Linked DNA regions of Arabidopsis thaliana. The protein of the gene in region 1 interacts with the protein of each later gene in a pairwise test. Each region holds a gene or a part of one and is shown in the gene's direction. Other genes may lie near its edges.

The links.
Region 2: the proteins of MYB29 (region 1) and SRO5 interact in binary tests that used the Arabidopsis thaliana proteins (3 or more experiments, as listed by UniProt).

The regions. Positions count from the first base shown.
Region 1 is NC_003076.8:2,442,671-2,450,323, forward strand, and holds MYB29 (myb domain protein 29), read left to right. Parts: upstream 1-3,998; 5' UTR 3,999-4,419; coding exon 4,420-4,552; intron 4,553-4,648; coding exon 4,649-4,778; intron 4,779-4,867; coding exon 4,868-5,615; 3' UTR 5,616-5,914; downstream 5,915-7,653. UniProt on the Arabidopsis thaliana protein: Plays a minor rheostat role in aliphatic glucosinolates (GLSs) biosynthesis, mostly short chained. Together with MYB28/HAG1 and MYB76/HAG2, promotes aliphatic glucosinolate biosynthesis but represses indolic glucosinolate biosynthesis.
Region 2 is NC_003076.8:25,095,381-25,101,716, forward strand, and holds SRO5 (uncharacterized protein), read left to right. Parts: upstream 1-2,563; 5' UTR 2,564-2,690; coding exon 2,691-3,148; intron 3,149-3,236; coding exon 3,237-3,481; coding exon of another isoform or gene 3,482-3,504; exon of another isoform or gene 3,505-3,564; coding exon 3,565-3,683; exon of another isoform or gene 3,684-3,776; coding exon 3,777-3,884; 3' UTR 3,885-4,387; coding exon of another isoform or gene 4,388-4,526; 3' UTR 4,527-4,527; downstream 4,528-6,336. Other genes in the region: AT5G62510 (F-box family protein), read right to left, coding at 1-1,255; ALDH12A1 (aldehyde dehydrogenase 12A1), read right to left, coding at 4,388-4,526, 4,609-4,688, 4,766-4,876, 4,972-5,184, 5,269-5,358, 5,463-5,552, 5,638-5,769, 5,860-5,973 and 2 more. UniProt on the Arabidopsis thaliana protein: Probable inactive ADP-ribosyltransferase that may be involved in stress and developmental responses.

The DNA.
Region 1 (7,653 bases):
TTTCGATATGTCAGAGAAAGTATTGTTTGGATTTGTTGGCTAATTCTGGTCTATTAGGATGCAAGCCTAAATCAGTGCCTATGGATCCGAAGGTGGTTCTTACGAAGGATTTAGGTACTTTACTTGAAGATGGAAGACCTTACAGAGAATTGATTGGGAGGTTACTGTATCTTTGTGTTACAAGACCGGACATTACATTTGCAGTCCATAATCTCAGTCAATTCTTATCTTGCCCAACGAATGTTCATTTGCATGCGGCACATCAGGTTTTGAAATACCTAAAGAACAATCCAGGTCAAGGTTTGTTTTCCTCTGCAGGAACAGAATTGTACTTAAATGGCTTTGCTGATGCTGATTGGGGAACATGCTTGGACTCCAGAAGATCAGTAAGTGGTGTGTGTGTATTTCTTGGCACTTCTCTGATTACTTGGAAATCTAAAAAGCAGGAAGTAGCCAGTGGAAGTAGCACAGAAGCAGAGTACAGGAGTATGGCAGTAGCGACTAAGGAATTGTTGTGGTTAGCTCAAATGCTGAAAGACTTACATGTGGAGATGGAGTTTCAGGTTAAGCTCTTTTGCGATAATAAATCGGCTATGCATATTGCAAATAACTCGGTGTTCCATGAGCGAACTAAACATGTTGAAATCGACTGTCATACTACACGAGATAGAGTCAAGAATGGCTTCTTGAAGGTTCTTCATGTTGATACAGAGAACCAACTTGCTGATATTCTGACTAAGGCGCTTCAACCAGGTCCATTTCGGTCTATCCTTGGTCGTCTATCAGTGTCAAGCCTCTTCCTTCCTCAAAAAGGTCAAGCTATACAGGATTCGGCTTGAGGGGGGTGTATTAAGCCTATATGAGAGTTAGTTATAGTTTGTTACTTTACTCTCATACTATATATACTCTTGTAATGTTTACTTTGTTCATTAATGAGAAATATACTTTGCATTTGATAAAGTTAATAATTAGCAATAGACGAGTGGGAGAACCACATGAACCTTTCATATGAGAGTGTCAATGGGCCTGTCATTGTTGCCTCTGTCCTTAGGCCCCACTTTTCCATCATTTCTTCACTTTGTTTTGTAGTTAAAAATATATATTATGTTTCTTTCCATCAAAAATTGTTACTGCTTTAGTTCTATGGGTCTATTTATCTAGGTCCACTATGATTCTTATATATATTTCCTTATCTACATGTCCACTATCAATCATTGTAATTAATTCTATCAGGCCCTTTGTTATTCCGAAAAAGAAGTGTAAAATCTACCGAATAACTTATGTTATGATGAATGGGAGGGGGAGTCAGCTTTGAAATCGTATACTGATCTTGTGTATCACAAATTCACAATAACTTATTAGATCTTTGATTTTATTCACAATGGTATTAAAAACTATTGTTTAAGTGAATAATTTGAGGTGTCAAAAAAAAAAAGTGAATAATTTGAATGATTGGCTCAATATCAAGCCCAATGATCAAGACCTCGTCTCTCCATTGCGTTCGCGTTTGTCACAAATCTCATGCCATAGTATTTTCAAGTTGCATTTATAATGACGAAAGTGACAACCTATATAAGGCTAAGCAACATAGAACAGGCATACTAAAAATCATTAATATATAGTATTATTGCTACACCTATTTAGTTATGTCGGTGGATATCTAAGGTATAATATGCACTCTGGGGGGATTTTGAAAATTTTGACCAACTAATTATTACAAAAGATCATTAATACTAAATGAAACTCATGATTTGGGGCAAGTCTTTAAAACATAGTTTTCCTGCCCACATTTGAAAAGTAAAATAAAGATCCTCTTTTGTTATTTGAGGGTTGTCTTTTTTTTTTTTTTTTTTTTTGAATCAATGTAAAATTTATTCAAAAAAGTCCTTGGTTACAATATATGCAGCTTTAAGCATAACGTTTTTTTGAGTTTCAGAAAATTTTAAAACCAAGGAAAAACAGAGGTATAAAGGATTTCAAAACAGAGCCTTTGTTAGGCTCTCGAGTGGAACCAAACCCGGAGGGCGTCGGCCATGTTTGATGGTTGGAGCTGGTGAATGAAGGAGATTCTACGTACGCCACATAATTTTACCATTTTCAACGATTGCGTTGTTTCCCAAATTATGAATTGGAACTTTGGTAGCATCGCAATATATACGACGTTTGGGTTTGGCCCATGCTGCCATGCATAGCAATAGTTTTAAATACATGTGGTTGGTAATATAGAAAATGGTTTGAAAGACCACAAACTTTGATCAGTGATCGATTCGGTAGGGCCACAAATAACAATGTTTTCGCCACATGGTCATACTTTACGTTTTCGATGAGAAAATATTTAAACAGTTTGTTCGTCAAATTTCGATTAACTAGAACAAAATTCATAAACGAGAGAGACAGAATAATTCGAGAGAGCTAGAGTGAGGGTAACTAGAAAGATAGTAACTGATTTTGTATCTAATAATTAATTCATTAATTTAAAATCAATGATAAATCACTTTGATGGTTGTGGCCTTGTGGGTAATTATAATTAACACGTACCATTTTTTATCAAGGCATTTTTAAACATTTTGTTTGTTTTTATTGAAGTTTTCTTCTCACTATTCAAAAACGTAAAACCCTAACAAAAAAAAGTAAAAGTAGAACTGTTTACAAGTCTGGCTGAATGGGTTGATTGACTCGACAAAAGATTTTCCATGTGGATTAATAGAACAAATTTTAATAATATATACGAAATTGATGTATTTTCTTTTCTTTCGATCACTATTAATGTCTTAAATAATAAAAACATATAGTACATTTTACAGATTATAAATTTATGTTGTGTTTTATTTTGAGTTTTGGCTTGAATTTTTTTTTTTTTTTTGTTGTTGTTGTTAAAGTGGTTTGAATCTGTATTGGTTACAAATAAAACAAATAATGTTACGTTCATTTTGTCTGTAGATATTTTTCTTACAACTTATGCAGCTATCTTTGGGGTTTCATTTTGAGTGTGGATGTTTGGTTTTGAGTTAACTCTGCATGTTCCGAAGAGGCGTAACTAAAATAAAAGAAACTACTTGAGATGCGAGATGTGAAATGTGATTAGATGAGAAAAAACGAACATTAATAATTGAGCAAAATAACTTTATTTAAATTTTGAATTCAGCGTTAGTGTTACACCCAAAGTGGCAAACAAATAGGACCGATGTTGAAAAAGAACACACGTGATATAAAATGTACTGAGAGAAAATTATTTGCATTAGATGACAATAAATACAATAATAATGAATAGATGAAATAACTTTTAGTTGACGAAAAAAAAAAAAAACTTTTAATCTATTTTATTCACTAGATCAAAAAGCATGTTTCAGACAGTTTTATTCTTATCATTCAATTATTTCACAACGTATAATTTTAGTTTATTTTCGTAATTTGTTAATATACGTATCAATTGAATATTTTTGACGGTTTTTATTATGTCATTTAATTATTTAAGGGAACATAGTTTATTTTAAAATGCAGTTCTATTTTACAAAAAAAAAGAAAAAAAAAATTGCAGTTCTACGTTGACATCTAGCTGATCAACTATTCATCATATATACTTGTATAATCTATTATTTTAAGTTCTATATTATTATTAATATGTTAAATATAGATATATCTATTTAAGAAAATATCATATAAATATATGTTATAAATCTATATATAGAAAAAATAAAGCACAGAATTTTGTCCCACATTCTGTCGATACGTACTCGAGCTTATGAAGTTGTTCTTTTCTAATTATATTTTTTCCCATTGCCCTTTATCAAATCAACTCTAATAAAAATATATGGTAACTTATGAAGTTGTCATGTATTTATGATATTTCTCTTTGGGTCGGCACTGTATTTGTGATGTTGATTATTTATCTAGTGGCAGAAAATATTCCATAAGTCTCTCTCAAACCATTTGAATAGTTCCAAAAACATCTTGTCACTAACACTCACTCTTGATGAGTTTTTTTTTTTTTTTTTTGGGGGGTCAAAGTACTCTTGATGATGAGTTGATATTCTTATTTAAAAAAAGCTTATTACTTATTTAAGTTATTTCAAAAAGTACATTCTACACGAGTGCCAGGCTTATATATATGCATAAACATATATAATTATGCATGGAGGAGTAGTAGCTTGCAATGTCTTGAAACTTTGATATATCTTCTCCTAGTCTTTCTTTTAAATGTTTAATATGAAAACACAAAATCCTACAACGGTCGTCTACCACAGTTTCTCAGTCAGTTTCATATTCAGATGCATCAGAGTTCTCATCAAGAGATCTATCAGTCTATTGCCTTAAACTCGACGACATTCTGTTTTTTTTTTCTTTTCTTATTTTTTCTTTTTCTTATTTCTTACCTATAGGTTGTATGTAAATCTATATCAAAAAAAGAAGAAAAACAAGATGTCAAGAAAGCCATGTTGTGTGGGAGAAGGACTGAAGAAAGGAGCATGGACTGCCGAAGAAGACAAGAAACTCATCTCTTACATTCATGAACACGGTGAAGGAGGCTGGCGTGACATTCCCCAAAAAGCTGGTATATATGTGCTTTATTATTATGTATATATTTTAAAACACTTTTTACATATATATAACTATAATTGTTGTTTTTATGACAAATGATGGTGTTTAGGACTAAAACGATGTGGAAAGAGTTGTAGATTGCGATGGGCTAACTATTTGAAACCTGACATCAAGAGAGGAGAGTTTAGCTATGAGGAGGAACAGATTATCATCATGCTACACGCTTCTCGCGGCAACAAGTAAAATCCTAGCTTGCCGAAATCCATATAAATAAGGGTATATATAATTAACACATTATTAAAGTTTATATATATGTTTTACTTAAAAGGTGGTCAGTCATAGCGAGACATTTGCCCAAAAGAACAGATAACGAGATTAAGAACTACTGGAACACGCATCTCAAAAAGCTCCTGATCGATAAGGGAATCGATCCCGTGACCCACAAGCCACTTGCCTATGACTCAAACCCGGATGAGCAATCGCAATCGGGTTCCATCTCTCCAAAGTCTCTTCCTCCTTCAAGCTCCAAAAATGTACCGGAGATAACCAGCAGTGACGAGACACCGAAATATGATGCTTCCTTGAGCTCCAAGAAACGTTGTTTTAAGAGATCGAGTTCTACATCAAAACTGTTAAACAAAGTTGCAGCTAGGGCTTCTTCCATGGGAACTATACTAGGCGCCTCCATCGAAGGAACCTTGATCAGCTCTACACCGTTGTCTTCATGTCTAAATGATGACTTTTCTGAAACAAGTCAATTTCAGATGGAAGAATTTGATCCATTCTATCAGTCATCTGAACACATAATTGATCATATGAAAGAAGATATCAGCATCAACAATTCCGAATACGATTTCTCGCAGTTTCTCGAGCAGTTTAGTAACAACGAAGGGGAAGAAGCTGACAATACTGGAGGAGGATATAACCAAGATCTTCTTATGTCTGATGTCTCATCAACAAGCGTTGATGAAGACGAGATGATGCAAAACATAACTGGTTGGTCAAATTATCTCCTTGACCATTCCGATTTCAATTATGACACGAGCCAAGATTACGACGACAAGAACTTCATATGATCCGTTGATTGCTTACCGGACTAGAGTTGACCGGTTAATGTCATATGGTTCTCTTAGATATTTGTCAAGTTATAGTAAAGGTCCACTATAGGGTCACTATATATTAATATTCAGTAATGGATTCTCTTAGTTAGAGAACCTTGTGATGCCGTGGATCAATTAGTATTTGATTTGCGGGAGACACGAGTTTTTTTTCCTTCTATTGTTGTTTGTGGATTTACGTACTATAAATAATAAATAAAACACCCATTTGATTGCAAGCGTTCACTGTACTAAAACCATTTGATTTAAAGTTTGAGCCTTAGTTTGTCTGACAGTCTGAGCCATGTTACCAAAAACAATGAAAAATATGTAACACATTTTAGGTTTTTGGTGATATGAAACTCCGAAGAAACAAATCCCTACTGACTACTGAGAAAGTCGATAAGCTTTTTTGTGGATAAGTTTCATGGATATATTAGAAGTAGTAACCATTAACCAACAAAAAAATAGCTTAAGTGAGTTATCAAGGGATCGATGAACAATTATGAGATCCAATGTGTTTTTGTTAAGAGGCAAAATCCGATGCAGTCTCTATGAGACAAAATTTCCATGGGAAAAACAGAGAGTTCTGAAGTCTCTCTACCTTAAACATGTGCAAGCCTTAGCTTCAAATGCTCCGTAAGGTTTTCATTTAAAAACATGAAATAAGATAGAGAAATGATACTTGATCCAACTGATGAAGATTAACAAGATAATTTTGAAGCAACTTCTGTTTGTATAATATGTCGTACAAAATCTGCTACCAATTTAGAGGCCAAATTATTTTCTTTTCTAGACAGTTTGTGAGGTGGGCAGCTGAAGGTGTTTAAGCCAAGATTCTCAAGATTTATAAATCTTGAATCGAATTAAGCTATCAGCCGGAAATTAGGAAATGATATGCATATAGGGACTAAAGATATAGTTGTTGCATTAAAAAGCTTAAAGAGAGAAGTGGATGTGAAAAGAAAAAAACCACAGATTTTTGCACACAATCTTGTGTGTTGATTGATATCCAAGTAGACTAATTAGACTGCTTTGTTCTACACGATAATTGGTTGTTTTTAGATATCAATACGAAACATGTTAAAATGTGAAAATATTTTAGATTAGATGATAACACCTGAATTTAATGACAAAAAAAAAAAAAAGTGGATAGAGACTAGAGGGACAGCAAGGCTGTGTGACATATATGGGCAGATAGACAAAGAAGCCGAAAAACGTGCACCGTCCAAGATTCTGGCTACTATACCTAATTTCCTTCCCGCAGGGACTTGACAAATATCACTATCTGCCATTTTTAGTTTTATTTTGTATTGGTGTCAAAGAATTGAAATAATGAACAACGGTCGTAAAAAGATGTAAATGGTGTTTGATTGATTAATGTTTTTTTTTTTTTCTTAGTATATTTTAGCAATTGCATATTATCATATAACATTAATTAATAATTATTGTGTTGTAGATAAATGTCATGCATAATGCAGTAATAAATGTGTGTGCATATATTATATATACACGTTAATTAGATGCTAAAATGAGTGACATATCTTTTAATTCTTTGATAACACCATTTCCATAAATCATTGTAAAACTTACCTTATAACAAAAAATTAATAAATGTTATAGGGGTCAATTGACCCCCATAACTCTACACTAGCCCCACCTCTGCGGATAAGCTTAACATGTCTATTAATATTCATTAGTTTACGTGGTTTAAAAGTTTATTGTCACGAGTGCATGACACTTACCGTGATGTTGACTATATGAAGAGGTAGATCGTACGTGTACAAATGACTTCATAGATCTTTGATCTTTTTTTTCTTCTTCTTCTTTTTTGGTAATATTCTTTAGTTTTATTTGATCTATTGTCGTTGTAATGATCTTTGATTACAAAGGAAAAAAAAAACTAAGACCCTTGACGAAAATAATAACCGTATTCGTAATCTCTGATATCCTACATTATGTACTATTTCTGATTTTTGTTTCTTATACGCACTTTTGTTCTAGATATAACTAAGAA
Region 2 (6,336 bases), about 23 Mb from region 1:
CCAAGTGGATGATGCTTTCACTCTTATCCATAAGTTTGAAACCAAAGTCCGGTATTCCTTTGATCCCATCCTTCTTATGGTCCGGCATTGCTTGGATTTCAACCTTCCTCAGATGATTCTTCTGTATATCATAATAGAGAATGTAAAAAGGGGAACACAAGTCACTTGGTACCAAGACAACCTCGCCGTTTTGAGTTGTGTCTACTAACGTCAATGGAATGTCGTTATCAACTAAATGCAGCTGACAAGGCTGCAAACTCAAAACTGTCCTCGACCAGTTTCCAGCATTTTCCAAGACCCATAAGTCTACCAAACCGTTTTCTTTAAGACTAGTATGATAAAAAATAGCTGGTTTCCCACCGTACTCTATAAAATCCAGAGAGTCAACATATGCAGACAACACAAGAGGCGCTTGGATAATGTTAAATTCTTCAGACCTAACGTCAAAGGTGACAACGATATCCTGAAACATACTAGTGAAAGCAAGATAATATATAACTCCACCGATGCACAGTCCAGATCTCGTAGGAGTATGAGGTTGATCAAACTCAATTCTTTTCCAAGAACCTCCAACTTCCAGTACGAAGACCCAATGCTCCGAGATTATCGTTTCCAAATCTTGTGAGGATGATGACACAAAAGTGCAAACTACTTTGTATTGATCAAGAACAGGATCGTGCCCCAAGAAGTAGAGGAGACTATGTTCGTTTCCTTGGACAAAAATGTTGAATTTGATGGCGGGTAAGGTTACGCTCTGTCTGGTGGTGGGATTATAGAGACACGCTTTTCCGCAAACAATGTATAAAATCAAGCCACGAAGAGTCACCATATGTAGTCCTCCCATCCCTTGCATGGTCGTCAAATCTTGGTCGAAACTAGAAGGCGATGAGAATGATAGCAGTACAGACTCGCGGGGGCTGTGGCAGACCTCCCTTGAATCACACTTGTGGTCCACCAAACTAATGTATAGACGATGTGGTCGCAGTGGAGATGCAACCGTAAGATAACGGTTGCTAAAAAATCGGGAACGGATAAGAGAAGACCACTGCTTTGAAACGCACTTGAACCTCATAAGCGATTTATGAGGCAATCTAGTCAGAATCTCGATCAGTAGATCCAAAGGAATCTCCGGTGCCACAAAAAAATCTTCTCCTCTTTGTCTTCTTCTTCTTCTTTTTCTTCCTCTTCTCATAATCGCCTTTGAAGACCTCTTCTTCCATTGAAAAGATGAAATCAGAGCTACAGACAAACGCATGGCTACTACTACAAACTTGTATATCCAAATTCTAGGGTTGTGACAGTTTTATAAAGTAGAGGACGATGATCGTCTCTAATCAACAGTTTTCCTTTTGTTGATTAGGAAAAGAAAGTTTACCCTAACCGGTTTTCTTCGGTTTTAAAAATGAACCGAAACCCAATATATACGGTATGTTCCTAAATTTGAAAGATTACCGGATTGGTTTTTATTTGTCTCGCAATGTTCTTACTAGGCTTATATCGTTCATAAAATGAAGTATGGCTCAATAACAAATTATCATTGATTCATGTATGGGCTTCTGAATGAGATAATTCTAAAAAACATGCATGCTTATGATTTATGATTAAGGTAAAAAAAAAGAAAAAATTGATTAAAGTCATTTCTAGCTAATATTTGGATATCGCTAGCGGTAAGCTCATTTGAATCAAGTTTCTTTCGGGATTATTTCTAAATATTCAAAAATAAACAGAGTTACCTATTGAAAACCCAATTTATTTACCATTTCATTGCGATTAATTTAGGATTTTTTTACAATATGTTTTTTAATCAATTTGATTACTTATGCGTTTTCTTAAACAAGACTTAATTGTGCTTATAATATGACTTTGAAACATATACGAATCTCAATTTGTTGAAAATTAAGAGTTCATACTTAGAAGACGATATGTTGTTAGTAAATAAGTTTGTATAAAGACATTTGATTGCAATGATACAAGTCAAACACGATTTCGGTGAGTTTAACTATACTAATCTAATTTAACCTATTCATTGTAATCACACACATTCACATTGTTTGTCGATTAATTTATTTAGTTATACACTTATGTGATTCTAACTAAAATAATATTGACCTTAAAATTCATTTAAGAAATTGAAATTGGTTACGTATAAAACGTGTTACGTGTGTCGGTCGTGTCCTCTCAACTAAGAAAGACGCGATACAACACATTCTCGATGTCCACAAGCAAAGGGTAACTTCGTCATTTCCGCTTCTACCTAAAAGCCCCACTTGATCCAAAGGATATTTTCGTCTTTTCACACCAACCAACCCGCTTAACGAACTCCAACACGGAATAGACCCCTCAAAGAAAAAAAAAACAGCTAGCGGCCGCAACTTACAAAAACTTAACCAAAGTATTTATTATGTAATAAAATAAGAAAGATATTTAGCTGTTAAATGTTTGTTTACGTCTTCTCCACGGAGAAAAAGACAAGAAACTCTGAGTTTTTGATATTTATAAAAATTGCAAAACCGACGGTAACAGAAACAAAAGGCGGTTCTTTTTTCCATATGTGTAATTATTTCCTTAAGTCATAGCTATAAATATGAACTTGGACCTCAAGTTCTTTTCCTCTCTCAAGTAACAAAATACTAATTCAAAAGCTTTATAAAGTTTCTTTTCTCATTCGGTTCTAAAGTTCCTATTTTTCAATGGATTACGTGAGAACCCAAGTCGAAGCTGTTTTTGATGATTCTGAGCAAGATGGATCAACCATCTCTGAATCTGGAAGCTGCGATTCTTCTTCTGATCGATCTTTTGCTGACGAGCTTGGGCTTATGGAGTTGCTTGAAGGAGATAAAGCTCATGATTTGATCTATCGTAATTGTAAATCTGGTCTTGGTGATCAATGTCAGATTCTCTCTGTTCTTAGAAACGGATTTAGGAACGTTGGATCTCGTGCAAAGCTCAAGACTTTTCAGGTTTTTCAAGAGGCGGTGCAGATGAAACACGGTGGAGACGGTGGAGCTAAGGTGAAATACGGTTGGTGCTCTGTTTCGAAACATGAGCTTAAAACGATTTTTGAGTATGGGTTTAGCGAGCCGCTGAGGAATGATGGATCTTTTGGCCGTGGATTGTATCTCTCGCCGGATAATTCTCCTCTTGATTGGTAAGTTTCTCTAAATCTCTAAAAGTTTCAATTTTTCGAAATTCATTGGTCTCAAAATCTCATTTTTGGTGTTTGTTTGTTTGATTAGTTTGAAGGATTCAGCTTCAGAATCAGAAGATGGGATGAGATTCTTGTTGCTTTGTAGAGTTCTACTTGGAAAATCAGAGATTGTTCCTCAAGGCTCGACTAGATCATGTCCAAGTTCACCAGAGTTTGATTCTGGTGTGGATGATTTAGTTTCTACGAAGAAGTATATTGTGTGGAGTACACACATGAACACTCATGTTTTGCCTGAGTTTCTTGTTTGCATCAAAGCTCCATTTAACCTAACTCGTAAGCAAAATCAAAATCTCTAATCTTGAGTTTTTCTTGTTCTTGTTTATGGTTTTTTGACATAGTTATAACTGTTTTTGCAGGAAGTCCAAAGAGATTGAGATCACCATGGATGGCATTTCCTGTATTGATCAAAGCATTGTCCAAGTTTCTACCTCCTTCTCAAATACTTGTCATTCAGAAACATTACAAAGATCAACAAGTAAGTGTTTTTTTTTGTTTGTTTCCTCTTCAATTATCTTTTGAGGTGATTTCATTTCACATTCTAATTGTTGCTTTCCTTTGGATTTAACAGAATAGGAGAATTACACGGAGCGAACTAATCCAACGAGTCAGAAGCATAACCGGAGACAAGTTACTAGTTCACATCATCAAAGCTTGTGGACATAAAGTACAACACTAAATCTCCATTGCAGATCACTTTGGCGTTTTTGTTTCAAGGACACAATCACCATGGTTGTATTTGTCTGTTTACCAACTCCAAAATGATCAGGACTGGTAGAGTCCCTTTCTATTGTTTTCCCATGATAGTGATGAAAAAAAACTGTTCATTAGATTATTTAAGATCGATTAGATTAGGGTCTTAGCAACATTATTAATGAAGAGAACATTAACAAGTTATCATCTTGTTTTTCTTTTCACTCTTCTTCTTTCAAAAACATTTGTATTATTGTCTGGCTTTGAGCTGAAGAAAATTTCTGGTGGACTGAGTTTTACAATAGTTCTCTCTCTGTCTTAATCCCTCTACCCCTTGACTAAGTCAACGTCGTTGAAAACTTCATGTTTCAAGCTCTTATTCCCTCACACGGAAACTACTCGTAGAGATAAAACTACAAAACTCATATTTATTTGATGCAACAGCACACTAAGATCTTAGTTTATTAATTATTAGTGGACACACCACTTCTAAGTAGATGGAGGAAGTTCCCAACCTTGTGGAACCGGACCATAATCGTAGATGACTTCTCTGTGGCATGACCAAACCAGCTTTATAGCCTCTGGTGTCCCTATCCCGGCCCCTCTCGGGTCCCCCGCAGGTCCAAACCTGTGTTTATATGATAGTTTAACTTTTCCTCAAAGAAATAGAAATAGATACTTTAATTTGGGAGTGTGATTTTTCCTCTCACCAGTGATTCTGAGGAGCTCCAGTTGTTCTTCCTCTTAGTCCAGCATATGTAGTCCCATTCACTGAGTTCCCTATTACTTCCTGCACAGATTTGTTACATCAATATCGAAGGGATAGAGAATAAGAGATTGATTGATGATAATTGTGAAAAGATTTGCCTGAAGAAAGATGGGATCGTTTGAAACAACAGCTGCAGTTAGATGAGCGTGCATCCTCTCCAATGCTTCCAACACTAGAGGAAGTTGATCCTTTTTGTATTCCGTTACAATCTGGATATCATATACAGAAACAACACTATACGTTTCAGTAAAAGAAACACACAAGATCATTTAGACAAAGCTAATAAAGTCGATATCAAGGTAACCTGAAATGGTCCAAAGATTTCTTTGGTGACGAGTTCGTAGGTTTTATTATCCTTCAAGATTTCTTCAATGGGAACATAAACTGCAGTTGGCTCCAAAGCTCCGTAGATTGAAGGAATCGAATGATTCTTCAATTCCTTGCCACCAAAGAGTAGCTTTGAGCCAGGAATCTGAAGCAGATTCTCCATGTGCTCCAACATTGCCTCAGTTGTAAACTTGAAACAATAATGAAAAAATAAGTTTTAATGATACAATCTCATCAGATGATTAACAACAGATGGAGAAACAATGAAACTCACTGTAAGGACAGGACCAATGGTTAAGTCTTCCAGTTTGCGTCTTTCCGCTAGTTCTTTTAATTTGGAAACAAGAGGGGTTTTTGACCAGTTCTGCTCAGAGAGAAAATACATTGAAAACAACAAAGACAGAAGAAAATGGAAGTAAACAAAAGATTCAAAGGTAGTTTCACCATAACAATTAGGATCAAACCAACCTCATGAACAAAAAGCATAGACTGTGCAGAACACTTCTGTCCACTGCACGCGTATGCATCTTGATCACATTGCCATGCAACATAATCAACCTGACATTAGAGACCGAAACAAGGGTTACAATCACATTTAAGGAGACTTGTGGAAATACAAATACGGAAGGGTATAATAAGAAACCTCCTGAACATCTGGTCCTAAGACTTTCCAATCAAATCCAGCATCTTCCAATCTGATTCGACCCTTAAGGTCAAGTGCCAACTTTTCAGCTACTCTAGAACTACCCGTGAAGAGGGTCATCCGTGGGTTCGCCTGAAAGAAGTTACAAATCGACAAGACACTGAATTAGCTCAACTAAAAACCCTGTGGAGACAATAGACTTGTGAATTCCTGACCAAATACCTCTAACAATATCTTGTTCATTGTCTTCCCATCAGAATTTATAAAGTCCACATCTTCAGCGGGTAAACCACAATAGTGGAGCAATCGCATCATTTGCTCCATAACAATGCTTACCTAATCAAATAACATTATATTATCAAACAGATGGAACCAATACAATTACGAGAACTATAGTAATGTGAAGAGTAATTTATACCTTGCTGTCCACTTTAAGAAGAGGTTTGTTACCCATGTATAATGCCCCCATCAACTGAAGTAGTGGAATCTCAAGTGGAAAATTAAATGGTGTAACAATCGTTACCTGCATTACAAATCTATGATTTCAAAACAAAGCACAGACAGAGTTCTCACCAATTACAACCATCTAGGAAGAATGCCTTACAGGACCATAAGGCCAACGGTAACCATGACTTTGCTGCCCAAGATGATTCCCAGGGATTGCAAAAGACCGTGCCAGGAACCGCACCTGATAAAAGA